Linked DNA regions of Arabidopsis thaliana. The protein of the gene in region 1 interacts with the protein of each later gene in a pairwise test. Each region holds a gene or a part of one and is shown on either strand. Other genes may lie near its edges. The genes, in order: RIP4 and KINESIN-13A.

The links.
Region 2: the proteins of RIP4 (region 1) and KINESIN-13A interact in a two-hybrid assay, tested with the Arabidopsis thaliana proteins (one study listed by BioGRID).

Annotation. Positions count from the first base shown.
Region 1 is NC_003070.9:29,497,284-29,511,612, forward strand, and holds RIP4 (ROP interactive partner 2), read left to right. Parts: upstream 1-11,667; 5' UTR 11,668-11,942; intron 11,943-12,279; 5' UTR 12,280-12,321; coding exon 12,322-12,335; intron 12,336-12,435; coding exon 12,436-13,396; 3' UTR 13,397-13,738; downstream 13,739-14,329. Other genes in the region: AT1G78400 (Pectin lyase-like superfamily protein), read right to left, coding at 998-1,228, 1,304-2,131, 2,244-2,399; AT1G78410 (VQ motif-containing protein), read left to right, coding at 5,445-5,771; AT1G78420 (RING/U-box superfamily protein), read left to right, coding at 7,995-8,186, 8,274-8,325, 8,413-8,458, 8,588-8,669, 8,773-8,917, 9,014-9,107, 9,318-9,384, 9,462-9,989. UniProt on the Arabidopsis thaliana protein: Acts as a scaffold, mediating interaction of ROPs with different proteins.
Region 2 is NC_003074.8:5,658,127-5,675,709, forward strand, and holds KINESIN-13A (P-loop containing nucleoside triphosphate hydrolases superfamily protein), read right to left. Parts: upstream 9,826-17,583; 5' UTR 9,442-9,825; intron 9,371-9,441; 5' UTR 9,289-9,370; intron 9,190-9,288; 5' UTR 9,136-9,189; coding exon 8,947-9,135; intron 8,501-8,946; coding exon 8,279-8,500; intron 7,880-8,278; coding exon 7,700-7,879; intron 7,589-7,699; coding exon 7,487-7,588; intron 7,336-7,486; coding exon 7,258-7,335; intron 7,014-7,257; coding exon 6,932-7,013; intron 6,796-6,931; coding exon 6,633-6,795; intron 6,386-6,632; coding exon 6,056-6,385; intron 5,864-6,055; coding exon 5,645-5,863; intron 5,555-5,644; coding exon 4,984-5,554; intron 4,873-4,983; coding exon 4,807-4,872; intron 4,717-4,806; coding exon 4,534-4,716; 3' UTR 4,249-4,533; downstream 1-4,248. Other genes in the region: AT3G16610 (pentatricopeptide (PPR) repeat-containing protein), read right to left, coding at 1-209; TOC120 (translocon outer complex protein 120), read right to left, coding at 343-3,612; TCTP (translationally controlled tumor protein), read right to left, coding at 11,583-11,700, 11,794-12,080, 12,173-12,246, 12,576-12,603; AT3G16650 (Transducin/WD40 repeat-like superfamily protein), read left to right, coding at 13,007-13,137, 13,250-13,274, 13,621-13,723, 13,989-14,070, 14,228-14,293, 14,516-14,600, 14,736-14,828, 15,013-15,076 and 9 more. UniProt on the Arabidopsis thaliana protein: Internal motor kinesin involved in trichome morphogenesis. Participates in regulating the formation of Golgi-associated vesicles.

The DNA.
Region 1 (14,329 bases):
GTCACCATACATATCAAAAGGGTATTACTGTAAAATACATATCCACATTAGTAGTTTGTTCGGACTGAACGTGAGATGAGTGTATGTTTACATATCCACGTAAGTATTTCGTAGATATACATTTTGTCCTCATATTACTTTAAATACATGTAGAACAAGAAAATCAAAATGCAAGAATGTATAGAAAGTGCCAAAGTGGTGGGTGAAACCACTGGAAATCGAATATGTGGTTCATACATTACGTGATACGTACACGTTACACGTTAATTAAGTTATAGCAAAGTAAAGATAACGGAGCTAGTTGGTAATTAGTCGTGTAAAAGGTTAAACAACTTCTTTATCAAAAAAAGAAAATAAATCAATTAAATAGCTTATATTCTTTGCTGAAAAGGATTTAATGGGCTACTTATATTATATTTTGGTTCATTCAAAATGCGTAAGATATGCGAAGAGTAATTTTGAATGAACCAAAATATAGTTAGGAAAATACCCAATTAGTTGTAGATGCAATGGGCTACTTATATTGGGCCATAGTGGGCTTATACTAGGCCACAAAATGAATACTAATTCACAATTATGACTACCGTGTGCCACTTAAATTAAAGACGCGAACTGTAAAATAATCCTACGCGCACCTAGAGCGCGTCAACGACACGAATACAAAACGGCTGGACTCGTCCAGAGATTTCGTCGTTTTTCAGCAAAATTAAAACAAAAGGCGAGTGGAGATATCAACTTTTACAATCCGCTGAAACGTTTATGTTTTATGACTTGGCCCAAACTTCTTCTACTCGAGAGAATATAGCTGGAAATTATAACAGTTACTATCAAAGAAATTGATAAGATTTATTGTTCTCTTTCAAATCTTCACTTCCCTTTAGAAGGGTTCAAACATGAACAAACTAAACGAGTGATCAGAGAATATCAGGAATTACAAATATAATAAAAGCTACGAAAAAACTAATCAGGATCATATAATAAAAACTCAAAATGTGGATCACCGGATGCAAGACGGAGGAGAAATCTTGCCACCTATCCAACCGCCAACATTCTCACACACAGAGGTTGCTGGACCGTCTCTCCCACGGTGCACTATGTTAATGTTGAAGAGCTGAACGTTTTTGCAAGGAACATTCTTGCTACATTGCAACTTCACTGCCTCCTTGGCCGTCGACGTTCCCCAAATGTTTTGGAACTTCACGTCTCTTATCTGAATCTTTGAAAAAGACTACAATAAAAAGAAGAAAATCAAATTAGGTCATGTCAAAAAGACTAAAACCTTGTTTCTTGTTAAGGAAGTTACCTGAAAGCTGCACGGTGGATTTGGACAGTATCGTTGATCTATGTTGATTGGGCTTTGGACATCAATCATCTGGAGATTCTTGAAAAGAAAATTCGAAACTAAGTTCGGTTCACCCGGCGAAGGCCATGTCTTGATTCGTACTCCATTACTCGTACCATTAAAGATTGAATTCCTAACAATTAATCCCTGAACGCTCTTCTCACCTTTAAACTTCCCAAGACTTCCAACGCTGATTCCATGGCCCGGTCCACAGTTGACTTTGTTGATATCCAAATTGAAGGTTCCCGACAAGATAGCGATGCAGTCGTCGCCAGTTGCTATGTCAACGTGGTGGATCTTCATGTGGTTTGATGAACCTATCTTGATTCCATCAGTGTTAGGGCTATCTCCGGGAGCCTTAATGTTGACGCGTGTGATATCAAAGTGTTGGACTGAGAAGAAGTTGAGGTGGCCCATTTTGCTATTGATCGATTTGATGCGCGTGAGTCTCGAGAATCTCACGAACTGGAACCCCATGTTCATCGGTAGAGCCCGGCAATTATGGGTTTGGCGGCAATTGTTGAGTGGCCAAGAGTAGCTTCCTTGTCCGTCAAGGATGCCGCCGCCTGAAACCGTGAGATAGTCAACGTACCTAAAAATAATCCAGCTGTCTTGTTTGATGGCGTTAGGATCTTTTGGAGCTAACAAAGTTCCTTTGATGATGAAACTAATCCGACTTTTACATGGTCCCGTGAAGGCTACAGCACCGAGGTAGAAGGTTCCAAATGGTATATACACTCTAGGTAATCCTTTCCATTGGCAAGCGTCTTTCCACGCCTTTGTAAATGCCTAAAACGCCAAATCAAGACAATAAGTCAAACATGTGTTAGAATTAATCAACAAATTCAGAACATTAATGTTGAATAAGTTGGATCAAAAACAAAACTAGAAATTTCACTACCATAGTATTGTCTGTTTTGCCGTCACCACGAGCACCATAGCTTCGAACATCGAAGACTTTTCTTCCGACGAGAGCGGCTGAAGGGGCGGCTGAAATGCTACTAGCGACGGCAGCTATGAACAAAATTAAGCTAAAACCGGAGATAGTGGACACCATTTCTTTGTTTTTGATAATTGACAATGTACAAAAAAAAAGTAGTTATGATTGAGAGAATGATAGTATCGTATTGTGTTCCATCGTATTATATACCAGTGCGATCTCTAGACACTTCTATAAGAAACCTACATCAGTGGCTGAAATTTTGGGTTGAAATTTAATGGTTTCGTCAATCATACAGATTGATTTATTTCTGAATTAATGTGTTTCTATAAGAGTACCAATTGATTTGTTTCTGACTGCTGATATGATTCTAAATTATAACGGTATATTTTAAAAATTCCTTAAATATGAGCAGAATAATAGTATATAAGGTAAACTGTTCCAATCTTGTCGAACAATTTGTGGATCAAAATTATCAATAAATTGCTTCTGTACGGATCGATCAGTGTTTTCGCAGTAATTTAGGTTTCGAATTACAACAACCAAATTGGATCGGTTACCAAAAACAAGTTGTACATACCATAGATAGCATGGAAAATATCACACCCGTATTAAATATTTGAATTAAAACCACTAAAAAGTTGTTTATAAGTGTATAGTTGTGTTAGGGCTTGGATAATTTATGTGGGCAATTTGGGTCTGAATAACTTTTTAGATTAGCCCATGTAGCATAACACCCACCCAACAGAACACGCCACCAAACACCCATATTTTATTTGGGAAATATGGGCTTCACTTTTGTAACAAACCCAATAACTTGTGCTACATGGGCTGGGCTAATCTCAAGACACAACTCTACACGATGTAACAAGCTAAACTCATAGTTTCGAATCTGATTGGAATTTAATTTTGTAAAGTAAAATATTACGGATTGTTTAAAAAAAAGAAATTGATCTTCGGTGAATTTTTATCTGCTATAAAAACAGAACAATAGTTAATTACTTACTTATATTCATTCAAAGTTAAATTCCAAAATGCTGAAACTCAAATGGACATAACTTACCCCAGTCGAAATAGTTAACTATATATTACCGGCGGTAAAAGCTGAGATAAAATAACTAATCTGTTCAAACTTTGTATATACTTAATTTCAAAGGCGATCAAATAAAAAACAGTCAGGTTCCTGAGTCAAGATTTGTAGTCAAAACCTTACTCTGATCCGTTATAGCCAAACTTGACTTTCCCTTTGTATGTTCATCAGTCTATTAATATTGATATCAAAACTGTACGTACAATAACGTACTGCACCAAATTTTATCAACAAACAAAAAATAGACTATACATAATTACGTATCAACTTCTAAAAGTTGTAGTGTAGTGATAAATGATAACGGATTGATTTGTATTTACCTTAAGGCTTAAACTGATCCATATATAATTTTATTCTTCATATGAAAATTTTGGTAAAGCCAATATAATTTTTGTGTGGTTGGTAACAACTGAAAATAATTAGGGCTATCGCAAAAGTACAACCGTACAATGAACTAATTTGCAATTTCTGAGAAGAATTTTGTTAGTGAAAGTCTGAGTCAACAAAACAAAAATTCAGGGAATTGAATGAATGATTGGGTCCCTTTATGAAACTCCCCATGAAACATCGTATGTAACTATCAGTGACTTCTTGTGCATCATGCTGAACTTCTAATCTCTTTTTTTTTTTTTTTTTTCTAATCTCTTTTAAATAGTAAAATCTACAAAAATATGATCCATTACTCATTTATATCAATATTTAAAATAAAATAAAATCTATATATCAATATAATTCAAGATGCAAACATTTAAAATTTACCTTACAATGATGTGAGTATATGTTACCTCCTATTTTTTATGTTTTAAACCGTATAAAATTTTCATATGCTGTTGGCTGTGGAAAAAGGGAAAACATGGTTATTAACTAAAAGCCCCATTTGGGATGTTTTGATTAGAAATTTTTATCTTGAAAAAATAAACTAAAGCCATTAGTGTTTTCTTTGTCGATGGAAAAAAAAGACATCACCTTTTGAAGAAAAAAATGACATCACCTTACTATTTTCTAGAAGCATAATCAAAGACGATTATATTTTGTCATAACGAAATAGTGTGGGGGGACGTGCAAAATTCTACTCACGTGTAAATACTTGGTAAGTTTTCAGTAGTTTTTTCTTAGGCTGTTTCACGTGATGTAACAGGATTTCATCAAAGAAGGCGTGCTTTGACCCAATCTAATGAAAATACACTATGATTTTTGGTAATTTTAATACTTTTGATGGTGATAGTGATATATAAATTTTAATGTTTGGTCCTTCAAGGCTGCTAGATTTTATTAACGGTCAACATGTCTTAATGATCAAAGGTCCTATCTATGCACAAAGCCATGTGCTTTTCGATTGATCTCAGTAAATGTTGAATGATTGTTGCTTTGTATAACAAATAGTTACCTTGTTTAATATTCTCAACAATAGGTTATAAAAATAATTATATGTAGTTAATCTTTGATTTTAAATAATTACTATTAAGTTATTTTCTTGCAGTTTCAAAATTGTTTTAAGTTTACCGTTGCTGTTAAATTCTAAAGAATATACAGAATGCAGTAATTGTTTCATCAACAGATGTATAAAAAGTCTTTAATTAGTCAAAAAAATTCTTCATTCATAAAATTCATTGGTAAGCATTTCTAGACTAGAGCCGTAAATATTTTCGGCCAATATAATAATTAGGAAAATATTTATTAGGAATTCAACGAATATGATAAAAAACGTTGGTCGTCGAAAATGTATCATGACGTCAGGAAGAAAAAAAACAAGAAAAAAATAGGTCGTCACATATGTTTTCATGTAGGACAAGATTACGATTATAAAATCGTTTCAAAAAGAATACGAAAAAATTTACTTGAATGAGTCACTTCAGTACCCCACAGAGATTATATCTTTCTCTCTTTAATCTCTCTATAAATACCTAAGTATGCAACTATGCATATAAATCTACAAAACATCTGAACACCCAAAGACACAGGAAGAGAGCTAAAGCTGATATATACTAAGTACTAAGATCATTTGATCAACCTAATCATCAACACCACAAAATTTTCTTTTCTTGTTTCTCTAATCGATTAATTTAGTAATAATGTCTGGAAGAGGGAAAGTGAAATCGGAGCCGATGAAGGTTGTGTTCATTAACACACAGTATGTTGAGACAGATGCTCGTAGCTTCAAGACCGTTGTTCAAGAACTCACCGGTAAGAACGCCATCGTCGCCGCCGGTCCTTTTGATTCGCCCTCTGCTTTCGACGGCCGTTGTTACGATGGCGGTAGTAAAATCGGTGAAGATACCAGACAGCTCCACGGCGGTGGCGGCGGAGGAGGACGAATGGGGACGACGACGGAGTTCGATAGATTATTCAAAGAGATGCCTCACATGGAAGAATTGTATAAACTATGGTCAGAATATTGAGTCATTAATAATTTCTGTGCAATGATTTTTAAATCATTCGTTTTCTTCCAAAATCTTTTCTTTTTTATCTAATGAGATAATGTTGTTGTTGATTTGATTTAATCATCTTAACTGGATCGTCACTCTTGAGATTAGGTCCAATAACGAATGTTGTGTTTTGGAAAGTAATTATGAGTTACCTTTCAGTACGGCCCATGTCTCCGAATTTTAAACGGGCTTATTATAGCTTTCATATGTTGTTTAAAAGGACCATGAAGCCCAAGTATATGCGAGATTAATACTTGGTTCTCTTATTTTCTGTGTATTTGGGTTTTAGAACCAATTATCAAAACAAGAAGTGTGAGTGTGTGACAAAGGCATTGAAAGCGACTAGCAGATTAAGAAGTCAGGCCTCAACTATGGGCTTTTCTCTATGGGGCGTCTTTGCTACCCAAGTCCAACTAGGTATTACTTTTTTTTCCATATTTTTTATATATTTATATTTCATGTTTTTCTTTTCTTGCAAAATAATGTTTTTAACTAAAAGAATTTTGATTTCACTAAAATTAGTAATTTCACTAAAAACTGTTTAATTCTTGTGACTATTTCACAATTTTTAGAATCCAACATGCGATACAGTTCACAACAACCAAATGAAGCATTATATGAACTAATCTTCTTGTGTTTATATATAAAACAGGTTTTTGTGTAAGTGCGTAAATGGCTGAGGCAAATAGCAACAAAACTCATGGTTAACCTTCTCTAACCAACCTTAACCAATTTTGTGTTGGGTGAACCATTTCCTTTCATCAACCCAAAACACACTCACGATTTTAATCGTCTCATCTACAATTCTTGTTTTATTTAACGTTCTTTCTTAATCTAGCTTTCTGGTAGTTATTTTCAGGGTTTTTTCTGGTATATAGTTGGGTTGATTCAACGATTATCCGAAACATTATACGTCAACATACAATACAAGTCTATTAAAAATTATTAGCTAATAGAAGTAGAACCTACTAAGCTATATTGTCGTCAACAAGAACCATTTTTAAATTCAATTAAATATAACATTAACGCCGACTAATCTAGTTTATGAAATATCACCAAAACTTTGAACACATAATGAGTCTCGTAACACACCAAAGATACTAACTTCTTTATTTTTTTCCATTAATAAATTTGATGGTAAATTACGAATATTGGACTATACAATTATGCAAATGCGACAAACAAAGATACAATTAAAGAATAAAATGTTAAAAAAGACATTATTCTGATCCAACTCGGTGCTTAAGACAAAACCGCCTTCACAAGATTTCGTATATTCTAATCCTTTTTTGGTCAACAAACAAAAAAAAACATAAATAAACGTAACGACGTCGTTTTACACGAAAATGAAAAACACACGCGAAGAAAGAAGCGCGTGGAGAGGAAGAAAGAAGCAAAGAGTTGGATTCTTTGGCTCGTCTCTTACTCCATCGTTTCCTGTTCCCTTTTAGCTTCTCCACATCATCACCATCTCTCTCTCTCTCTCTCTCTCTCTCTCTCTCTTCTGAGATTTTTCCGTCGAAATATTAAAAAGAAATTTGCAGATACAGAACTTGTTCTAATCTCTCTCTGTTTTTTTTCCCTATGAATTTTATATAATACGAAAGAGACACACAACACTGTATTATCTTTGCTTCTCTCTTCTCTCTCTTTCTATCTCTACAGAGTAAAGTTCTGATCGTGTCTCTTATCGTTTACCCAAAAACCCTTGTTTGATCTCTCGTCTCTTGTTTTCTTCTGCCCTCGAAGTTTTCAGGTTTCTTTCTTCTCCGATTTATCCTTCTTTTTCCGTACTTTTTTATCAGAACTTGTAGGGTTTCTTCTGTTTCAATTCGTGGAATATTTTGCAACTTCGATACGTAAATTACGTAATTAGGGTTTGATAATGTTTTATGTAACCAGCCCCGAATTGAATTAGTTCCAAAGTTAGGGTTTTTCTCTCTCAAATTAGGGTTTTGCCCCAATTGTGTTCTTATATTGAATTTACCATTTGCGCAGGTTATGTGGTGGAGGTTGTTTCCAATTTAAAGTATGTACCTTTAGGTTAGAAATTAGGCTTATTTGTTTCTCCAGTGGGTTTCATTGTAGAAACAAATTGAATTTTAGGTGTTAATGTGAGATTAGGAAACAGAATCTCTGCTTTTAACAAGGTAATAGGAGAATAGGGTTTAGTAGAAGAAAGGTTAAAACTTTGTGATGGGTAATAAGTTGGGAAGGAAGAGGCAAGTGGTGGAAGAAAGGTATACAAAGCCTCAAGGTTTGTATGTGAATAAAGATGTCGACGTTAAAAAGCTCAGAAAACTGATTGTGGAGTCTAAGCTTGCTCCTTGCTATCCTGGAGACGATGAAAGCTGTCATGATCTTGAAGAATGTCCAATTTGTTTTCTGGTTTGTGAATTTCTCTCAGTCTCTGTAACTACTACATTCTTGTCATGTAAGATCTAACTTTGTGATATTTGCTTCTTGTGTTTCTAGTACTATCCTAGCCTCAATAGATCAAGATGTTGCATGAAAAGCATTTGTACAGGTAACACATTCAATAACACTTTAGCTTCTTTGTTCTATTCATGTTTCCATTTCATTTGACATGGCATTCTTTGTTCATTTGTTGCAGAGTGTTTTTTGCAAATGAAGAATCCTAATTCAGCTCGGCCTACTCAGTATCCTTCATTTTAAATCCTTTGCATAAGCTTTTAGGGGCTTCTTTAACATTTGGCTTAATGTTTGAGAAAATTTCTTATTAATTTGATGGGTTTTTTCCCTTTTGTGTCCTCCTTGACATTTATGAGGTGCCCTTTTTGTAAAACTCCCAACTATGCTGTCGAGTATCGTGGAGTCAAGTCAAAGGAGGAAAAGGGCATTGAACAAGTTGTAAGTCTTAAAATTTCCACACAACATAACTTTTTTCTAGATAAGCTTTGATGAAATGGTGCTTTACTCAAGTGGTATATTCTGTCACTGTATCTTTTTGCAGGAAGAGCAACGGGTAATAGAAGCCAAAATAAGGATGAGGCAGAAAGAAATGCAGGATGATGAAGAGAAAATGCAGAAACGTCTTGAATCATGTTCCTCTAGCACAAGCGCAATGACTGGCGAGATGGAATATGGTTCAACTTCAGGTCGGTTTATTTTTACTGCAAGAACGTGTTAAATCTTCCATCAGGAACAAACAAAGGCGGTTTTGACAGGCTTCCTTTTTGTCCCTTGGTTTGCAGCCATATCTTATAACTCCCTCATGGATGACGGGGAAATTGCTCCATCGCAGAACGCATCTGTTGTTAGACAACATTCCCGCCCGCGAGGAAACAGGTCTGTCTTTCCATTGGCTGCTCTGTTTTTTTTTTTTGTCAACTTCATATATGGAGTAATGTAGTAGTTGTAACCATGAAATTTCTGAATTACAATGACACCGTGATTAGACTTTTTTTGTTTTGTTTTTTGGAGCTAAGTGATATGAACACAGATTCACTTAGAAATGAAGAGTGATTCATATATTTGATTTGTCTATAAACTCTTCAGGGAGGATGAGGTTGACGTTGACCTTGAGGAATTGATGGTCATGGAAGCAATATGGCTCTCTGTTCAGGTAAAATTATTTGTTTGTATAACTTTTGATATTAAATTTTTCAGTTCTCTCATAGCTTTTTAAACTGATTCTAACAGGAAACAGGGACGCAGAGAAATTCAGCTTCAGGGGAAATTACCTCTTCTAGGCAGTATGTAACAGATAATCATAGTTATGTTTCTTCACCACCACGAGTGACTCCAATCGTAGAACCAGCAACACCGTCTTCATCATCTGGTGGGCTTTCTTGTGCAATCTCCGCACTTGCTGAACGCCAAATGGTTGGCGAATCCTCCAGTCACAATCATAATCACAATGTCAACGTTTCTTCATACAGTATGCTTCCCGGAAATTGTGACAGTTACTACGACATAGAACAAGAGGTAGATGGCATAGACAACCATCATCATCATCGTCATCATTACGAGATGGGAGAAACAGGAAGCAGCAACAGCTATGTAAGTTCTTACATGACAGGCGAGGGCTTCCACAACTTTCCTCCTCCTCCACCTCTGGTCATTGTTCCAGAGAGTTTTGAGGAACAGATGATGATGGCTATGGCTGTGTCTATGGCAGAGGTTCATGCCACGACGACATGTGCACCAACTGAAGTTACCTGGCAATAAATAGGATAATAATGGAAACTCATGGGTCTGAATCTGATGATGATTATAACTTCATTCATATATGTCTGTTCCTATAGGAAGAAAGAAAAGAAACGAAATGATTTCCAGTTTTAATAGAAAAAGGTTGGGTTGTGTTACAGCTTCTTTAATTCTTTGTGGTTCTTCTTTTTCAATCTGCATTGACAAAAAATTTGAAGATCACTTGTTTTGTGTCTCTTTGATTGCAAATTTCTAAATGGAGAAGAGAAGGTCAAAGTTGGTGATTGTTGACCAAAGCAGTAATTAGGGGTTTAGGGTTCTAGAGTCGGCTTTTGTCAACATATATGTCTTCTAGAGTCTTTGTATGGGTTCGTTATAAGATGGAAATTATAAAAGATAATTAATGGATTATGATTTATGACTAGCAGCTAACTAATTTTCAACATTTAATATCTTGATTTGAGCAGCTAATGTTTGTGTTAGTGTGTCTTATGGGGTTTCTTACTTTCTTCTATGAATTTATGTTCGAAAAAGAGAATAATGGACCTCTAATTTCACAACTCCCAAAACTCAGTATCTTGATTTTTTTTGTTCTTTTGGGTACTGATTGATATGTAGTACTCTTATTAGTTACTTGAATTATCAACAACATCATCATAAAAAGAACCAAAAGTTAAAGGTAGATGCTACTTACAATCAAAAATCATAGTGGCGCTGAATTTTACTTACAATTTGCTCTGTACTATTTTCAATTGTCAACTTTTACTTTATACTACAAAAATGTAGTGAGTGATTAATGTTATGTAAAAAACATAAATAGATAGTTGGCACATAAAAGTGAAATAAAAATAATTAGTAGTGATTGATATTTCATCTTGAACACAGATTGTTACGGGGTTTTGTTTTTCAACATTGTGTATGGGTTTCTTTAATATAAAGCTTGAATGTTGTACATTATATCCATTTTCATATAGTAGTGTTATGATATTTACCATTAGGAATCCCAAATTTGAAGTACAATGAAACATTGAAACCTAAAATAATAGATATAAAAATGGGTATATTCATACATTAAGCTTAACATATATCAATATATTGGTTTACGGTTTTATAAAGTAAAAAAAATAAAAAGAGAACGATTGGAATATAAAAAGAAGAAGAGAAACTAAAAGAAAAGAGTTTGAACTTTGTTGAAACCGACAAAAAGAAAGAAACAATGTCAGACCGATTGATAAGGGTACCCACACATGCGTGTAATAAATTATTTATCTCTTAAACCATTTTTTGTCTTTATAAATAGAAGTAACATGATTTGATTCAAAATTTTATATTTAGCTCGTATGTTAGGTTTAGGGTTCTTAACTTCTTGTGTAATTGCCTTGTTTCCCATTTTTTGGCTGTCGTTTACGCCAAATTTTGTACTACATTTTGTGAAATTCAGTAGAAATCCGTTAGAATTTTTTTTAAAAAAACCTCCAATGAACGAAGGAATTGGTACAATTTGGCAACTTTTATAATCAAATCATGCAAAGATACGGAATCTTAATGTAGTAAAAGATAATTAAAAACAAAACATTATGATTACATGTAAATGTGGGACATCACCCTCCAAGACATGTAAATTACACTTTTGTCCTTTATCTTCCCCCAAAGGTCATTCACTTTCACCAGCTTTATTTCAAATCTTCCAACGTCTACTTTTTCAATATCTCTCTGCTTCTTGAATTGAGAGTCTCTCTCTCTGGACATAAAGCTACGACCTCTCTTTTCTCCACATTTTGGGTTTTCTTGTCTTCGTGTTCTTGTTTCTATCAACAAAATTAATCACACCAGCAGCATATTCAAAAACAATTTCCTCTTTGTCCTTCTTTATTATTTCTCTGCTTGCATTACTTGTTAAGACTATATCGCAATCATTCTTCGTATTCAATTCCACAGGTGAAACCCCAGAAAGTACTCTACATTATCCTCAAGGTTAGTTTCTACAATTAGACCAACCCATTTACTTATGTGTGTATGCAAGATAAGAAACTTTTCCTCAAGAGAAATCTGATTCAAGTCTTGGTGAAAGATTGAAGTTTGTTATCTTAGATCTTCTAAAGCGTTTGGTGAAAGATTGAAGTTTGTTATCTTAGATCTTCTAAAGCGTTTTTGAGTAAAAGCAAAAGCAATGTGTTGTTATATCTCACTTGTGTCTGGTTTGACTCCAATAGTGGAATCTGTTTAAGAGTTTCTCACTCTCACTTAGTGGCGCGTGGCTTACCAGTTCATATATCTGCTTTATTCTGAGGAATGTTTTCGTTTTCATCAGATCATTAACCTTTGGAGAGTCAGCAACTTTGCATAAATCAGAATGCCAAAACCAAGGTTAGGGTTTTACTTCAATTCTTGATGAAAAATGTGATTTAGATTTTTCTTGTTGTTAGTCTCTATGATCTGATATGTGTCTTCTTTGATCTGTGAGTAGTATTAGAGGTTCAGAGTTGCCTCAGAGGCAATCTCCTAGGCTAAGGACATCACTGTTGTCCACTTCCTCTGATCCGCATCACCTCAGCCGTCCGATTACAGACCGGAGTCCAAAGCTCGGCCTTGACCGTAGATCTCCAAGGAGTGGTGGGCCTCATACAGATCCGCTGAGTCAGAAGAAGCTTGGAAGTCGCATCTCTGGCTTGGAGTCACAGCTAGGACAAGCCCAAGAAGAGTTGAGATTGCTCAAACAGCAGTTGGCTAAAGCCGAGGCTGCCAAGAAACGTGCTCAAGAAGAGCTTCATAGGAAGAAATCCAAGAAACCGAACACTCCTGCTCCGGAGAGAGATGACATTCCTGGAGATGGACATCAAGAGACAGATGTGTTCGAGGTTCTTGATGAGAAAGCAAAAGAAAGTGAGAAGACGAAGAATGATGAATTGGCTTCTAAGGAAGACCAAATCAATGTATTGAAAGCTAGATTATATGACTTGGAGAAAGAAAGGGTATCACTTAGCGAGGAGAATGAGACCTTGAAGGATCAGTTGAAGAAGACGGATACGGAAATGTCCTGCGCAAAGGCGAAAGAGGATGAGATAGCTTCAAAGGTGAGTCAGATTGGGGAAGAATTGGAAGAAAGCAATGAGACCACAGCGAAGCTAAAGAAGAAGCTCGAATCCGTGGAAGAAGCAAAAGAGACTCTAGAAGCTGAGATGAAGAAGCTGAAGGTCCAAACAGAGCAGTGGAGGAAAGCAGCAGATGCTGCAGCTGCGGTTTTATCTGGAGGGGTTGAGATGAATGGTCGGTTCTCAGAGCAGTGTGGGTCAATGGAGAAGCATTTTGCAGGCAGGTTTGTCGGATCACCGGGAATGGCTGATGATTCGGATGACGGGTCTGGGAAGAGGAAAAGTTCTGGGAAGAAGATGTTCGGTGACTTATGGAAGAAGAAAGGGCAGAAATGAAGTGATATAATAAATAAAAAGTAGCGTGTATTTCAAGAAAGCAGTGTGCTCTTTAACTTCGGATGATCTAAGTGTGTGTGTCGACGAAATGATGGCTCATCATTTCCATAGATTCTTAGTAATGAAACATTTAGACAATGATTGTGTGCTGCTTCACAGAAGCTAATTTATCAAATTCCTATTCAACTGCAAAATCTGCTCACTTGTCTGTAATTTATTTCATTGATCAGTTACATCTTCTTTATGAGGATTGAATTAGGTGTCATTGTTAACGTAATTGCCATTGGAACCGGTTTAGGATTCTGAACAAGTTGGGACTTGGGACTTACCATACTCTTCCGGTTCGATATCTCCCAAGAGTGTAAGACTAGTATGAAGATTATTTTCTTTGAACTTCGACAAATTCAAGATTTTAAAACTTTCTAAGAATATAAAAACATTTGTCGACACTCGGCAAAAATAAGAATTATATGAAGTTTTGGTGTCGTTATAAACTTTTATATATCAACGTTATGAACATATACAAGTTGGTCCATGGGATGATGTGGTATCATATGGCAAATATATACAATGACAAGTCGTTTTCCCTTTAAAGATTGGCGGAATTTCTAAGTATATGACGAATCATTTAAATATATGTCTATATCACTAAACATATTGGTGCCCAAAAGAAATTCTCGGACCACATTCGACGTGTAATATTGAGATTTTCGGTTGTAATGTCTTTGTCGATATCTTTAATGTTGTTATAAAGTTATAAGAAAAAACTGTTACAAGATTTGATCCAACAATATACTATCATGTGTACAAGGTATTTATCCACGCACCGTGTAGGACATATTTATTTTGAAATAATTTATATAACACAATAAGATGTACACATAAAGTAAAATGTAGCTTACATCAAAACAGTGTGTTTAAACAACTTGATAT
Region 2 (17,583 bases), on another chromosome or scaffold:
GCAATAGGATTGATCCTTGGATGAGGAATTTCATCGAACACATGGCGTGCAAGTTCCACTTCATTGCATGATGCGTAAAGACGTGTTAAATTGACGAGCACTGTAGAGGAACTTAACGTAAGAGAGCGTTTAAGAAGATGCTGATGAATGACCTGACCTAAGACCAGATTCCTTGAGCGAATACAGGTTTCAAGAAGACTTAGAAACATTGGGATAATGGATTTTAAGTTTCAGACATATGTTACAACCAAACATCAAAGACTTAAAACAAAAGTGAATTCCGACAACTAAAAAAAGAAAAACATGTTTCAAGAAAAAATCAAAACAGTTAAATGTTACTCATCAGTGTCCATATTGCATTTGCTCAGGGGAATAATAAGTAAGAAGCTTCTTGAACAGAGGAACAAGTGCAACCACAGCAAGTTGAAGCTGCTCAGAGCTGTTTACGCGGATGCTTACTTGCCCTGCTCCTCTGTTATTCAGATTAGCACGAGCAATGAGATTAGAGGAACGTCCAATGGGTACTTGAGACTGTATATTCCCTCCGATAGCAAGATCGCCATGCCAATCCATCACAGAGAGTCCAAGAGTTGATAAAAACCGACCAAGCGGATAATCTTTATCTCGAAACTGAGCTTCTAAAGTACCACCATAAGCAACATCTCCACGACTAGTCATTGCTCCACCTGACATAACCATCCTGAACCGTTTATTAGCAATCAACTTATCTTCGACTTTTAGTCCCGCGGAAACTGAATCACCTAAGAGCGTAACAGAGAGACCAGCTGCTGCTTTGTTTTTCCTAAACTTGTTAAATCTTGTTTCACTTCGAATAGTGTACGCTAATTCCTTCCCAGCATTTTGCATGTCAAAACCTAGGGAAGTTGATCTACCTTCTCCATGTTTAACCGAGCTGGCCAATTCTAGCTGCACATGTGCATCCTTCTTGTCCTTTGTCACTTGGCCAGAGAAAGATACTGGTATTTTGTCTTTAACAACAAATAGTCGTTCCGCATTCACACCTTCATAACCAATATCATGATCCCACCCATGAGTTTCCAGCACTGGCCTAACAAGCCATTGATTGGAGGTATCAAGGTACCGGTACCGATGAGTAGGATTGTCAGAGTCAAAAGATGCAGGTAGAGATAAATCTGGCATTGGAACTGGAACAGATGCAGGTTCACTTCTCTCCTCTTCCACATTTTCACTATACCCGTTAGGCATATCTTTAATCTCAGCAGCAAATTTCTTCAACAACTTACGTCTCTTTCTTTCCTCTTTCATCTGTCTCTTCATAAATAGTTTCTCCCGATACTCCATCTCATCGAGATATTCCTTCTTCTGAGATTTGCTAAGCTTAGTCATCTCTGCTTTAGTCAACCGCTTAAAGGGAGGAAGCTCATCATACTCTGATTCTTCCTCAGAATCTGATGATTCGTCTAAATCATCTTCATCGTCTTCATCATCGTACTGTTGCTCAGGAAGCTTAGCTTGTGGTCTTGATTGCAGAAGCGATGAGAGGAGCAATGGTAGTGGCGGAGCCTTGGACCGAGTTGCAAATTGTCCCCCTGGAATATTATCTTGTAATTTCAGAAGAGCATTTGCTTCGGCAAGAATCTTGGATGCAAATGAGAGTAATAACAAATGAGGCTTCCACACTTGGCCATTAGGTAATACTCTCTGGCCTGCCCGATTTGTCCTGCAAGCAGAGTGGTTCTCAACTAAAGAAACAGGGTTCATGAGCCTCATATCTCCCGCTGCTTGGCGAATGGCCTGCTGGATGACATGAGAACGTTGTGTCACAAACATGTCATAGCTAGAAGCAGTACCATTTGGGCCATCTGGTGGAGCCGAAGCGGCATGAGTCAAACCCACAATGGCATTAAACCATATTGATGGTCCAAAAACATCAGTGATGGTGCGTAAGAGAGGCATGTCACCAGAATCTCTGCTTTGCATATCCAACCTATCAAGATATAACACAATGTCAGGCGGACTTTTCTTGATGAATGCCCTAACAGACTTCAGGATCTTCTCATTCTTGTGTTGATCTGACCAGGATGGTAAGAGACCGGGAGTGTCAATTACCCGTACCTTAATTCCCTGAACAAAACCCTCAATATCCTGAACCTTCTTTGTCCCCACCTGGAATGCATCAGTACTAATTTTCAGTTCATCAAAAATAGAATTGATGGTTGCACTTTTACCAACCCCACTTTTACCAAGCACCATAATCGTACAAGAAAAATCAAGGGGATCTTGTGCAGCTGCCTCAAGCTGTTCTGCCATGGCACTGGCACGATCAAAACTAAAGGCACCAACACGGCTTCCGTTTCTGCCCCTCAACTGTTCAGCCAATCCAAGCCTGTACAAAACCTGAGCAACAACAACATTATGTGGAGTTTGCCCTAATCTATGTGAAAGCCTCAAAAATTTGACCCTGATAAACTGGAGCTTCTCACGGGTCTCATCATGCTCATCTGTCTCTGCAGTGGTAGAGTCTTCAGCTTGCTGAGGCTGATTGTGAGACACATTTCCATTGACACGAGGCTGTTGTGTAACGCGTGGTGCAGGTTCCAAAAGTGGAGCAGCACGACCAAGACCTGCTGGGCGAGCAGGTGGTAATGCTGCAGTATCACTTCTAGACTCTGTTGGTGAAACAGAACTTAATACCTCAGATTCTCTTTCCATATGTTGGCTTTCCTTAATCTCTGGACCTATATTTACACTGCTATCTTGCTGCTTTACAATTTCCTTATTAGATTGAATATCATGTCCTCCATTACTGTTTTGACTTTCAGTCTCTCCCTTCTCCTCCGAACTAGATTTTTCCAATGGAGATAAGGTCCCAGCTGCTACTTCAATACTATCATTCAAGGATTTGTCACCTGAAACAATTTTAACACTATTGAACTCAGCACCAGTCTTACCATTTCTTTGTTCTGTTACCATGCCAGCTGATACATCAATTTCTTCCTCCCATTTTTCGTCGTCAATACCATTACTCCCTGTTTCCACGGAACAGGCACTTACTGAGATAACTTCCGCCACCAGTTCTTTATTCTCATCAGGAGAGACTACTCCATTTTCTGAAGAAGAATGTGTATTTCCGTTTTCCAAATTCACATCCTCAGTAGCTAAATTGGAAGTAGCTTTCTCACTGTTCTCAACCACATCCAAGCTTGATGCCATTTTACCATAAGAAATATCTGCATCTGCTACTTCCCCGTGATCATAATCATTCATTTTGAGAGTCACCAAATCAGAATCAGCCTCTTTCGTAGTTATACATTGCTCGTTAACCTCACCATGGCTCTCTCCAATCTCCGAATAATTAACCTTTAAATTTTCTACTCCTCTCTCATTTCTACTTGTTTCTTCCAAATCACACACTTCATCATTGGAAGCTAAAGGAAAATCCTCTTGCAACACATCGGTTTTGAGAGATTCAGGTTTTAGACCCTCCTGCGAACCAATTGCTTCCTCAAAGACCTCTTCTTCATTATCCTTCACTTCATCAGATCCCACCAACTCACTAATTCTACCATCCTCTGCAAGCTTCTTCTCATCCCCATATAACCTGGTTACAATCTCAGCCCCATCTCCCATTTCTAGGATCACCCAAAATCACGAAACACTGCACCAACCAAATTTTGTATCCTCGTTACTTTTAAATCCACAAGACACTAAATTAAATGGGAGTGAAACTAATATTTTCCAAATCGTAGGTATATTTTGCTCATAGGAATTCAGAAAATACAAAGAAGAATCTATTGATATTGAGGAGAAAAAGTGATGGCGAGAATCTAACCTGGTTAGAGAAGGCAAAAGTCTGGAAAGAAAAAAAAACAACTTCATGCGCTTTTTTTGTATTTGTATAAATCGCCTTTTACTCGCCTGCGACAGTGCGACTACGACGGGAAGGAGAAGGAGATAAGCGACTTTCATGGACGGTTTAAATCGGTTTGGGTTTTAACATCGGACGGTGGAAAATGGCTCTTATATTGCAATCGTGAAAAAGGCATGTCACGTGATCAATAGTAAAGTGTGGGCCAAGGCCTTTTTAGTTGGGCTGCATAATCTTGTTGGCCATTTTATCTTTACGACAAGAGAGAATTGCTTTATTTGTTCTTTTGGAGCTATTCAACTGTCTTTTCATTGGTTGTCACTATATAGATGGTATTTGAAGATCTTATTAATTGTTAGAAATTTGATTTTATATATGGCTCACCAAATTTTGAAACATTTTCAGATGATAAATGGTTTTATACTTTTTCAGTTGATTGATAAAAGAGTTTGATTCACATTGACAGTATCCAGCTTTCTGGGAGGATAGAGGAGAAGAGAAAAATAAGAAACACAAAAGGTATAACTTTATAATAAAGATTCAAAAATAAAAGGAAAGAAATGCCCAAATTCACAAACATGAAGGACATTTCTGTCATTCTTTGTCATATATAAGAAGAGATCACCCAACCAACCTTTCACACTTAAACAACACCACACTTTTGGTTTTCCTTCTTCTACCAACTACCGAGGAACTCTCTTACGGCTCAGTATTTCTTGTTCCTTGAGACGGTGTTGGAACCGAGCAAGCCTGGCTTGAAGACTGACTAGCCCTGCTGCTTTCCGGGACAACACAAAGCTCAGTTGCGTCACATAGTTTTCTATCATGCTTCCCGGTTGGTCCACCTCCGCTAGAAGTTTCATTTCCTGATAATGATATAACAGAAAAGAAAATTGAATGATGTGATAACATTCTACAATCGTTTTTTGTGCGCTGCAATGATGTGATTTACATACCTCGCGAACAATCTCCATTGTATCCTCAATTTCTTTTCTGTGCGCTGCAATCAGAGCTTCTTCTTCCTGAAAAAAGTCATGTGATGGTTACGATAAGACATAAACAGAACTACCGTTACTTGCAAATCAAATTCACAGCTTCATCTCATGTTTTAAAGGGATAGGTGAGTACTTTACCTCAAGCAGTGCATCGAGGTTTTCATCAAGCGAAGGGTCGGTTTCATATTGCCTTGAAGCGGTTTCATATTGCCTTGAAGCAGTTTCACTTGCGTTCTGTCTAAAATTTGTCAAGGTAGGGATATCCGACGAACTGACATCTCTTTTAGACCAATTTTGTGGTCTGTCTGGTTTTTCTTCCCGCAACCCTTTCCCACGAGGTGGTGACACTTTCTTTACTTTCTCTTCACGGTCTGAAGTTTCTTGGGGATATGAAGAAATGTTGTTTCTCTGACTAGTGGAGCCAGCAAAAGAACTGTTCGGCTCTGATCTTCCCTTGTCCATTGAGAATGATGGGATTCCACTTTCCTCTCGATAATTTGTAGGCTGTCTGAAGTCAATACCCGACGTACTGCTGTTGCTGTCCTTCTCGACCACCCTCCTCCTGGTTTCTGGTACATTCACTTCCTGTGGAGGCTCAAAGACATCTTCTACATCATTTGGGCCCAACAAAGGATCCTTATTAACCGGAGGCATTGAATTCGCAGTTTGATCTTTCTTGCTATTTCCACTTTTAGATAGACTTTTGACTCTGTTTATTCCATACATAACCAACAGAGGTTAATAGACGATGAAATTGAGAATTTGTTTCACAAGAGGCTATAGTTTGTACAAAACATACCGATCAGCATATCTTAGAGTATTGAGGGTATGTTCACACGATCCTGCATTTGGAGAGATGCAGGAAATCATCACCGTTCTTGAGTTTCCAACAAATGAGTCACGGAGCACTTCCGTTAGTTTGCTTCCACGAAATGGTATATGTAGCTGGTCATTGTCCAGTGCACGTATACATTCCTTAAGAGCCAAGAGACTCTTGTTGATTTCTGCGCCTTCAATCCTAAGAAAAATCCACAATGAAAACAATGAAGCATTTAGATCTGAAGTGTGGTGGTCCTAAAGTAAAAAGGTAGCAGCAAAGTGCCACTTTATCAATGCCCACAAGTCCAACAGAGGCATAAATTTTAATCTACACATTAGTGGTAGGTCAATTCTCAAACTACTCAATCACAGGGGCAAAGAGAATCTTTACCTTGTCTGGCGATCATTGTCTGTGGTGTCTGCACCTCTTTCACTGCCAGCAAGGTCAATGAAAGAAATCTTTCCCACAACTTTCCCAGGCAATTCATTACTATCATTATTCCTCCGTCTAGTGTCTTTTACCTCAACATGCTTTTTTACAACAAGCTGTAGGATGGCATGCGATCTAGAAGATTCCTCATTTGCTCCAGTTGAACCTGTGCTCCTTTCGGCATTTCCTTTCTCGATAAAATCCTTTACAATTTGTACATCTGAAACTTCATATTCTTGCAGGCCAACAATGCAAACTTGCTGTCTACCATCTTCTCGCATGCAAAGTTTCCTACTCGGCAATAACTGAATGATTTAGACAATGGTAAACATGCATTTGCGATAGTAGTAGACAACAATGGAAAGTATTGACACTGATAGGATGAATAAGTGCCAATGTTTACGATATACTGACATCGAAATAACAATTATAAGCTAGTATATGCCTGAACAAAGTATATGCCAAAAGAAAAGGAAAACATAAAACCCCTCAACAAAGACGACATTTATAAGAAATGAGAAAAAGAAAGAACACTAACTTTCTCTCACTGAGAAGATCGAACAGCTTTCCACCATATATCTCAAAATAGCTGAGCCACAATTTAAACCTCTGATTGCTGTATACTGGTTGACGCAACAACCTCATAAGATCTTCAACTGCTCGTATAGGTAATGGTTTCATTGTAAATGTCTTACCACTACCTGAATAAGCAAAACATCATTAGGGCCATGAAAGCATGAAGAAACTATTAATCTATTATCCTCTAAAAACTGGAATCTGTTAGCAAGAGTATAACTATCAGTGTATTTCCCAATGAACATTAATGTCATTGCATACCTGTTTGGCCATATGCAAAGCATGTAGCTTTAGTTCTCTGGAAAATAATGGGAATTATTGGCTCAATTGTGGCCCGATACACCTATTCAAGGAAACAAACAAACATGTTCAAAGCAGCATAAAGCTTCTGTATATATAAAAAGCTTAATGTATCCATACATCAATCCAATCTGGATTGGGGGAAACCACATGCTATGATCTAGTTAATAGGTCAATCAGGTATGTCGACCTTGACATAAATCATAAATCTACCAAAGCTCAAGGTTGCATCACGGACACCTAATAGGATTTTCTATGGTTTCCAATAAGCTCAATTCTTAACTTACCTCGTCATTTGAAACATCCTCATCTAGAACAGCATCAAAGCAGAACTCATGCTTTTCCACATAAGCAGTCAAATCAACCTGCACCAACAAGATTACGGTTCATTCAATATTCGAAAAGACAATATTAAATGAAAAGAATATATGACCTTTAATAGCAGGATGCCATCGTTCAGTTGTTCAACTGAATCATGTTTGCCATTGTTATCTATGATGAAGAATGCACACAAACCTTCACTCTGGGCTCATGGACAGTCAAAGAATTATCAGATACCGTCACGACATCCTCCTCCTTTTTAGCTGTTTCTTTCTTGTTTAGGGGTCTTTTCCTTACCTATAGACAAAAAAAAAAGTGGTTTCCCAATCATCCCTAGTCATAATGAACGTTGCTTATAAAACAATCAAGTAGTAAGGAAACATGTCAGTTCTCAAGTGAATGACCTACCACTACTTTAATCTTGGCTACACTGTTATTTTCTTTATCACTTTTAGGCAATAAACCCAAAGGTTCAGCTTCTGTCTGTTGCCGCTGTTGACGATTAGCTGCCAAATTATAGTCTTCTTCAAATTCTTTATTTACACTAGGCATGAAAGGTGACGGCTCAAAGGGTTCGGTAATCACATGCTGCAAAATGAAAGGAAAGTCACGTATCATAAAAGTTGGTAACTTTCACATGGATAATCGCTTTCTTTATGAACTAGCAAATGCAACAAGCAGTTATTTAGCTCAGATGCTTTTCTAATGACAACAAGACCAAAACTGTCACATCTCGCTAAATCCATTCGAGTGTCAAGATCAGAAGTTGCCTACAGAAGTCTCGCAGATAGATTACATGTGCACAAAGCCAATGGATTAGGTGGGACTCAATATGGCAATGTAAGATTGGCAAGAACAGTTTGAAAACTGGGATGTAACACAAGAACAGACAATCTGATGATGAAAATTTATGATCTTTCTGTTATCCATGGGCACTAATGAGTAACTATGAATAAGTCTTTGCACTAGTTCTTCTTCCAAGCATACCTCAGATAGAAGCTCTGTATCATCCATTGCATGAAGATCCAATAATCCTGCTCCAAAATCACCTCTGAACTCAGGTGAAAAAAATCCTTCCGAAGAGGGCATAGCTGCTGATGTGTGAGCAGTTGGTGTATATGATTCAGAAGTCGACTCCCCATTAAAATTGAGATTTCTCATTAGTTGGAACAGTCTTTGTTTCTCTTCAGCAGTCTGAGCTCCATAACCCTAGCAGATACCGCAAACACCACAAAGGATGCTTCAAATATCAGAACCCGTTCATGCGAATTATACAAGAGCCAAGGCAAAAGTTTCTATAGAAATTTACCAATCGAAGAAGAAATCACTAACAACCCTGCAGCAAACATCTAACTTAATCACATTACATAAATGGCCAAACAAATTCCAAGCTCTCCTTGAGATACGTTATGACTAATATCCATAACAGGGAGAAACAATCCTACATTCCTAATTTCCTACTGCAGCGTTTTTAGTAGTCTAACACCAAATGTGCGCAGGAATTAGCGACCGAAAACTCTAACAAAACTTGGCTATCTGCGTCTAATACAAAATTTGCATACTTTACCAAGCTAGGGCAAACTCCATCAAGAAAACTAAAGGGCATGCAAAATATTGGAAGAGTACAGAAACAAAGAATCAGGGAAAGCAATTACCTGCATGAGAAGGTTTGGGAGGTGACGCTGATCATTGCCTGTAGAAGCAACAGGAGACGCCAAATGCTGCAAACCAGCGGATTGAAGCCACCGTGCCATGACTGCATCTCCTGCGTCATTAGTGGGTAAAGCCCCATCGTAAAGCGCCGTCGCAGCCGCAGCATTGTTTTGCTGCATTTGGCCGCCCATGAGGCGCTGTGATCTTCTTTGAGGAGCCAACTTCGGAGATCTGTAAAAACAACTCTTCATCCATACAAAAACCAGAATCACCCATTTGTTACAAATCAAAAAATTCCTAATTTCAACAATAGAATGTTAGATTCAAATCGAAGAGAAACTCACAATGTGGAGAGAATTCGGATTCAACACAGAACATGAAAGCGGAAATGTACAGCTCCCGACTTTGCTTCACCTCCTTCAAAATCTGAAATTCAATCAATAAATTGCATCCAATAATCGGAGAAGAAGATCGATGTTATCCAAAGTAATGATTACCAGAAGGAAACGAAGACACGCAACGGTGTTAGATAAGAGATCTGAGATCTGAGATTTTCACAATATACAATCAGATCCGACGAGTGAAGAACCCTAATTTACGCACATCGAATAGCGTTAGAGATAGAGAGATAGAGAGATAGAGAGAGAGAGCTTCTGTTCAAAATTTTCGTCTTCTTCCGTAAGCGACGTTAGGCGCAGAGAGATGAGAAAGAGAGGGGCGTTGAAGAAGATTTGACAAAGTATAAGACACTTACACAATAAATTAAAAAGTTTGAGGTGTTTAAAAGTTTTTTAAAAAAGTGACAGTTAGATCACCCTTTAACTTCAGAAATATTCACCGATTTGTCCTACTTTTTAAGATTGTACAGTCTAGTCCAAAACATTTGAAACAATCTTCTTTGAACGGTCTTATATATTCTAAAAGATAGTGTTGAAATATTATTTTTTTGCTGAGATCGTGACACAAGGACATATACCAACATGGTGACATAAAAATAGAATTGATGTTCTCATCTTGAATCATACGGTATGAATCTCATACCTTTTTGAGCAGATTGCATAAACATTGATTGGTTTATTATATATGTAGTATAACTAATAATATAACCTTGGTGGGTTGATCAGTTATGTGCATTTTCAGATTTTAGCTACTTTATGGTATTTAAGGATGTTGTTTTGGACCATCTATGGTAATAGAGATGAAATTTGAAATTGTCCGAGGAAGATGACATGAGTTTTTCTCGACATGAAATCCACAACTTTTGGAATTTTAGTACATGACAATGATCTAATCTTATATATTCTTATGTTTGTTTAAATTTTTATACGGTTTCAAATTTTGAATTGTTTAGATGTGCGAATATAAGTGAGTGTATATCAAAAGTACCAATCTTGTGTATGTATGTGTACTGTTTAAACCCCAAAAAAAAGTGTTAATCCAATAAAATATACGAACGAGAATATGCAAAAGTAGCGAAGTGGGGCTAATACAGCTTGTGGGTTCCTTTCTTTTGAATCAAAAAGCTTTTGCTTTAGCCTAAAGCATTCCGATCTAAAGGATTCCTGATTTTAAGTAATCACTATATAAACCAGTATGAAAGGAGCTTTTCCTTTATTTATCCTTCCTAAAAACATTGGTCTCTCTAGTTTTGTGTAAGTTTAGATGATCTACCTCCTTTGTATGGCTACGTCAATATAGTCATATAGATAGAAGTTGATACTACTTGTTACATAAGAAATGTTTAAATAGTGTAGGCTAAAAGCCTAAAACGAAAGGAACAACAAAGTTTGAAGAAATAATGACGATAAATACATAAGATACAAGAGAGTTGGAGCAACGTCAAACCGACCAAGACCAAATCACGTTTCCTTTTACGTGAGACACAAATACGTACCAACGCATTTTGGTTGCCCTCTCATCCATACGGACACCACACATACATAAATAAATAGTTCGAATAATAAAACCAACAAACTAAAAGAATAGTAAAGCATAGGATAGGTTGTGTTGTTTGTCAAAGTAAAAGAATACACATAATACATTATTATTACGGCCACATTGTGATTTGTCTCACAACTAAAACCAAGATGACAGAACTCTAGTTAGTATCGATTCCGCACGTGAGATAGAAATCCTTGATAAGGAGCAGAACATGCCTATGATGATGTCTCAAGACATCATGTCTGTACGAAACTTTTTCTTTTTAAAGGGATAAAACACCATTAGACTAAAGTCAAAAGAATCATTCTACAGCATATTCCATGATTTAAAGTTACTAACAGTTAGAGTAACCCACTCGTTTATTCACGTCCATAAGATCTGAATCCAAAATTATTAGACATCTACTATAAACATGCCTCGAGATTCGGGAGTTTAATTTAGAAAAGCAAAGCTGAAGAGATATCACACCAAATAACACAAAAAGTAACGACCAAAATTCAACTAATTGTAAATGATAAACCGTTTTTTGCGGAATAAATAACTTGAGAATCTTCCAACACAGAAAACAAGAAGAGAGAAAAGTAAACTGGCAGGTAATTTTAATAGGGGACGACGACGAAACACAGGACAATATAAAGAAACATAAACTTAGAGAGTCGCTGCGACCGACCACAGTAACCCAACGAGAGCTTCTCTCTCAGCACTTGACCTCCTTCAAACCATGAGCGAAGTACAAAAATGTTGGGTTAGTTGAACCCTCCTTGTAGTAAGCAAAGACCAAAGTGCTGTCATCATGCATACCCTCCCCAACAAAGCTGTAAAATCAGACAACACAAGCATTGATGAGATTTCAGATGAAATATATGTCATGTATAACAAGCAAGATACGATAGATTGGGGTAACTTACAATTGGAAGTCACTGAGCCTGGGGAGCAAAAACTTGGTAGCTCCCTCAATACCCTTCTTGAAGACAGCTTGATCTTCTTCGCTGAGCTTGGGTGTCAAAAGCTTAATGTATTTCTTAATGTAAGCGATGAATCCCTTCTTGTCATAAGTTGGTTGCTCCTGAAGTCTGAAGGTGTCGACAATGTCAACAACCTTTTGAGTAGAGTCATCAACACCTTCATCCTCACCACCTTCTTCAGCAGATGGATTGGCACCAATGTTAACATCTACAGCTCCCACAGTAACCCACTGGATAACAAAATCAAAACCCAATTCAGAACAGGAAAACAAAAATTTAACAAAATCAAAACAAAACTTGAAGTAGAATCGATGACACTGACCTTTCCTTCTACTTCCCAGAGGATTCCATTCTCAATCTCCTTGTAAGGGAAAGAGTCAGACAGAAGCTCATCACCTGTAAATCAATAGCCCAGACTCTTTAGTCATTACTCATAAGATCCCAAACATTAATCGATACAAGCGAATAAACCCTAAAATCCAATCTACAACGAATCGGTAAGCTCAATTAAAGGACGTTTATATACTAATGAATCACAGATCTAACCAAATCACATAAACTAATCCCCTAAGATTTGAATTATCAATGCAAAGAGCAGCAAATCAACGAAAAACCTATGATGCGATGACAGATCTAACAATTCGATAACATGATTTATTCCGATCGGAAGAAAAAGATCGATAGCTACACAGTTCATACCGAGATTAAGGAATTATTGAGCTTACCGGTGAGAAGATCTTGGTACACCAACATGGTCGCTTATTGATTGTTTTCTCTCTCCGATGGATGCGAATAAACGAAAATCGAAGGTTGCGGGAGAGAGACGCAGCGACGAGGGGATTCTGAAGTGAGGTCCTAAGTTTGGTATTTATAGTCGAAACTATAGCGTAGGGTTTTCAGGTAAATTTACAATTCTCGGTAAATTACAATTTTGGGCTTTAACTGTTTCCAATTTTCTATTTTTTACCCTTTCCTTTTTTTTAAATAAAGGAAATAAATCTGAACCGACGCTTAATGAGCCGGGTTTGGTCCAACGGGTGGGGATTCGAGTGTTGGGCTACGTATAAATAGTGTTCGGGTCGGATAAAATCCTATTTCCCTCTCTTCTCTTCCGTCTTTCTCGTTCTGTTTCTGATTGTTCGTGTAAAACCCTAGAATGACGATGATAGCTTTGAACAGGGAGGTCGAAACTCAGTCACTGAAAAAACTCAGTCTAAAATCTGTTAGACGAGCTCGTGAAATTTTCTCCCCCGTCCATGGCCAATTTCCTCAGCCTGATCCTGAAAGGTTAATCAACAGTTTCGCTTGCAATGTCCACTTTTTTTTCTCGAAATTTCTCAGAATTTTTATGTGTATTGACGATTTCTTCTTCTTGTCTGTTTTTGTTCTTGTCTCGCAGCAAAAGAATTCGGCTCTGCCATAAGGTAAGGGGGTTTTCGAATATTTTTTAAATTTTATCTTTGATCGTGTTGAAAATTTTGTTCGCTTCTTCTTTGTTTTGAGTTTGATAATGGATAGCTTTATAGCAAGCTTCAGAGACGTTGAACCTGAGAAAATTTTATAAGGTGTAAATCGAACAGTCAATGGCTTATCACTTTTATAGTTTACCTTTTATCTGGAGTTAGATTCTTCTCATCAGCTACTATTGTTTGAGTTTGCTTTCTAGCATATTACCCTCATCTTTATAGTAAGATGTTTAGTTTGCATCAAGCGTTTTAGTGAACATCAAGTAGAATATAAAAGTTAATGACTTGGACGTTACTTGTATAGATTCAAGTTGCATTTGGAGGCGTAGAACCTGCAAGTAAGCCTACACGTATTGCTGACCATAACAGTGAAAAGACGGCTCCATTGAAAGCCCTTGCGCTTCCAGGTAGTTCTTTTATCTGTTTTTCCTGTTGTGAGACAAAACTAGTTTCCTATTTTCTAGTTTCCCTGATATCTATTTATATTAGTTGTGAGTTTCATTCATATATGTCTATAATTAGGATTGGAAAACAAGTTTCAGTAATGTATCCTCTTAAGAGTATCTTTTCAAACAAACTTCTGCTGCACTAAAAACGCTGTTAGTGTAATCTTTTAGCCTTTTTCATGACTATTGTTTCTCGTTCTGAAAGACCAAATTATTTTCTCCGCAGGTCCAAAAGGGTCCAAGGAACTTCGAAAAAGCGCAACAGAGAAAGCTTTAGTTGTTGGTCCAACTTTACCGCCAAGAGACTTGTGAGTATACATTTTCATTTGGAATGTGACTAGTCCATATAGTTAGTATAAATAATTTACGACATTCTCAAGAATGTTATTCCTGTTTTGTCTTTGTGATTGATGCTCTACTTATCGTGCTGATTGATACTGATAATTATTGATTCTTGAATTGAAGGAACAATACTGGTAATCCAGGCAAAAGCACGGCCATTCTTCCTGCACCTGGATCATTTTCCGAAAGGTTTGTGTCGCATCCTTATCTACTTTTATGGACTCTCTATAACGACACTACATCTAGATTGCGATACCTAGGTGGTACATAAAGCCGCACTAAGGTGAATTGGTGGTTCAGAGTCATGAAATTTAAATTTGGCCATATTTATTTAACCTGAAATGCATCTAACTTGTATCAATGCTTCAGTTATTCATTATTTGTCCATCATTTCCCCTCTATGTGTTACAGAAATCTGTCAACTGCTGCTTTAATGGAGAGAATGCCTAGTAGATGGCCCCGTCCAGAGTGGCATGCACCATGGAAGAATTACAGGGTAAGATCTGTGTTACTGTAATATTTCTGCATCTTATGGATATAACATTTAAGTGTGTAGGTATTCTTAGGCCATTTGTTGGCGTCCAGAGAGTACTTTATGTTCTTATGAATTGATGCATTTTTTGGTTGACAGGTGCTCCAGGGACACTTGGGTTGGGTCAGATCTGTTGCGTTTGACCCAAGCAATGAATGGTTTTGCACTGGTTCAGCTGATCGTACCATCAAGGTAACGGATCAACTCTATTGAAAATCTAATTCAATGCCTTTTTTCCCATTCTTCTGTAACCTTTTCTGGATTCTATAATATGAATTGTCATTTGCTAGGTCCCGTTTTTTAGTTCTTCATGCAACATTTACCTATATCTCATGAATTAATCTTACTGATTGCTTCTGTGGCTCTTGTTCACTAGATATGGGATGTAGCGACTGGAGTTCTGAAACTCACACTTACTGGACATATAGGGCAAGTACGAGGTTAGACTACTATTTTTTTCCCCCTCAATTTGTTAGTTTATCAATAGCTCTTGTAGAAAAGTACCAGTGTAAAAGTTTCAACTCTCTAAGTTTATATAATTATTGTTTCACAGGCCTCGCTGTAAGCAATAGACATACCTATATGTTTTCTGCTGGTGATGACAAGCAAGTCAAATGCTGGGACCTTGAGCAGAATAAGGTTTAAACTCGATGATGGATTTCATCTCATCTGTATATTAATTACTCTTCTCCTGATCTGAACTTTTCATGTCCAATGTCTTTGGAATTTGTCTTTGATAGGTTATTCGATCTTATCATGGTCATTTGCATGGCGTTTACTGTTTAGCTCTTCATCCTACTCTTGATGTTGTACTAACCGGAGGGCGAGACTCTGTCTGCAGGGTATGACATTTACTGAAAAGATGTATCCTGTGGTTATAAACATATGTATTTTTGATGTTTGAGTTCTCTAACTGTTGTCAAAAATTCTTTTCTACTTATAGGTATGGGATATCCGTACGAAGATGCAAATTTTTGTACTCCCACATGACAGCGATGTTTTTTCCGTTTTGGCCCGCCCAACTGTACGCCTCATTTCATCTTCTTTTTACTTAATGTGCTTGTGGCGAAGAAGCACACACTGCTATTTTATGCTCATATAGTCGTATGCTTTTATTTCAATAACTTTGGAACTTACTGTGTCTGTGATGTTGCAGGATCCACAAGTTATTACAGGGTCTCATGACTCAACCATCAAATTTTGGGACCTCCGATATGGTATAGTTAACATTTAACAATCTCTTGGACTTTTGCTTTTCTTCCTCCCTAGCTTTTCATTGTATGCAGGATTGGGCTAACAAATATACTATAAACAGGCAAATCGATGGCAACCATAACGAATCATAAGAAGACTGTCCGAGCAATGGCTCTCCATCCGAAAGAGTAATTGTCTTGCTTTTTCAACCTTAGAGTTTTGCATGATAATGCACCCTGATTTAATGTCTCTTTCTGTTTCGTTCAGGAATGATTTTGTTTCTGCATCAGCTGACAACATCAAGAAGTTTAGCCTTCCTAAGGGAGAGTTTTGCCACAACATGCTGTAAGTTCTAGAGTCCTTGTAGTTATTTGAGTCTTAATCCACTCTCTTACATCTTCCAGTGCAATGAAAAAGATAATGTTTCTTAACTAAACTGGAAATTTTAGTTTTCTGATGTGTTTTCATGTTATCTTTCTTTTTGGAGCAGTTCTCTACAGAGAGACATAATTAACGCAGTGGCTGTGAATGAGGATGGCGTAATGGTCACTGGAGGTATTATTTTCATTTTCAAATCACTCTTTGATACGGGACGAAATACTGATACTTGTATTCACATTTCCTCCACATATTATATTACCCGATTTCATTATTTGAACTAAAATGTCCCCGTCTTTGTGCAACTGAAGGTGATAAAGGTGGCTTATGGTTCTGGGACTGGAAGAGTGGTCACAATTTCCAACGGGCAGAAACTATTGTACAGCCTGGTATCTTCTGAACCTATTTCTTGATCCTTTACCCTTGCGTTGCTTGAATGGTTAAAATATTTAAGTCTTAAAGGTTTATGATTATTGGTTCGAAGGAACAAAGGAAGCTCTCAATTTTCAAGAAGTGATAGAGTTTTTTACTCTCTAGAATTGCTGCAAGTAGTAAATGTGTCTTATCTCATATGTGTCTTATCTCATTTACATGGTTAGGTTCGCTGGAGAGTGAAGCAGGTATATATGCAGCGTGTTACGATCAGACGGGTTCAAGGCTGGTAACGTGTGAGGGAGACAAAACAATAAAGATGTGGAAGGAAGACGAGGATGCAACTCCTGAAACTCATCCTCTCAACTTCAAACCTCCCAAAGAGATCAGACGCTTCTGAGGTTTCCCTCTCTTACAAGTTACACCTCTCTAATATCAAACTCGAAGCCAGAAAAAAAAAATCACTAATCTCACTCTGGATTAAAAAAAACCTTGGTTATGCTATATAATTTCTTCTTCAAGATAGATATGGAAAAAAACAGCATTGTAGTTTCTTATTAATTATTGTAGTTTTACATGAAAAAAGACACTATTTTCGGAAGGGTTTTGGACAAGGGCATTTCGGGTTGATTCAGAAAGTGATTGTAGCCGAGTTAAAGCATGACATGAACCCAACAATGGCAAAACATCTTTGTACTGTGTTCGTGGTGTTTGTCAAAAGATTATTGAGCAATTACCATTACCAAGAGGCCAACTTGATCGCAATACGACTAATCGCCTTGTAGATGCATTCTTTACTGGTCCCCGTGGAGATTAGTAGAATTCATTCATAAGATACATTCACATTTACATATGAGATAATTCTTTGTTATAGCTATAAAAATGAGCGATCCATCTTAAAGCAGAAGATTTAAAATAGGTTCCATGGACCAATCTATAACACAAGATGGGTGGTAGATTTTCTCTTATCTCCTTATATCAAGAGTCTACTTGTGTATAAGTT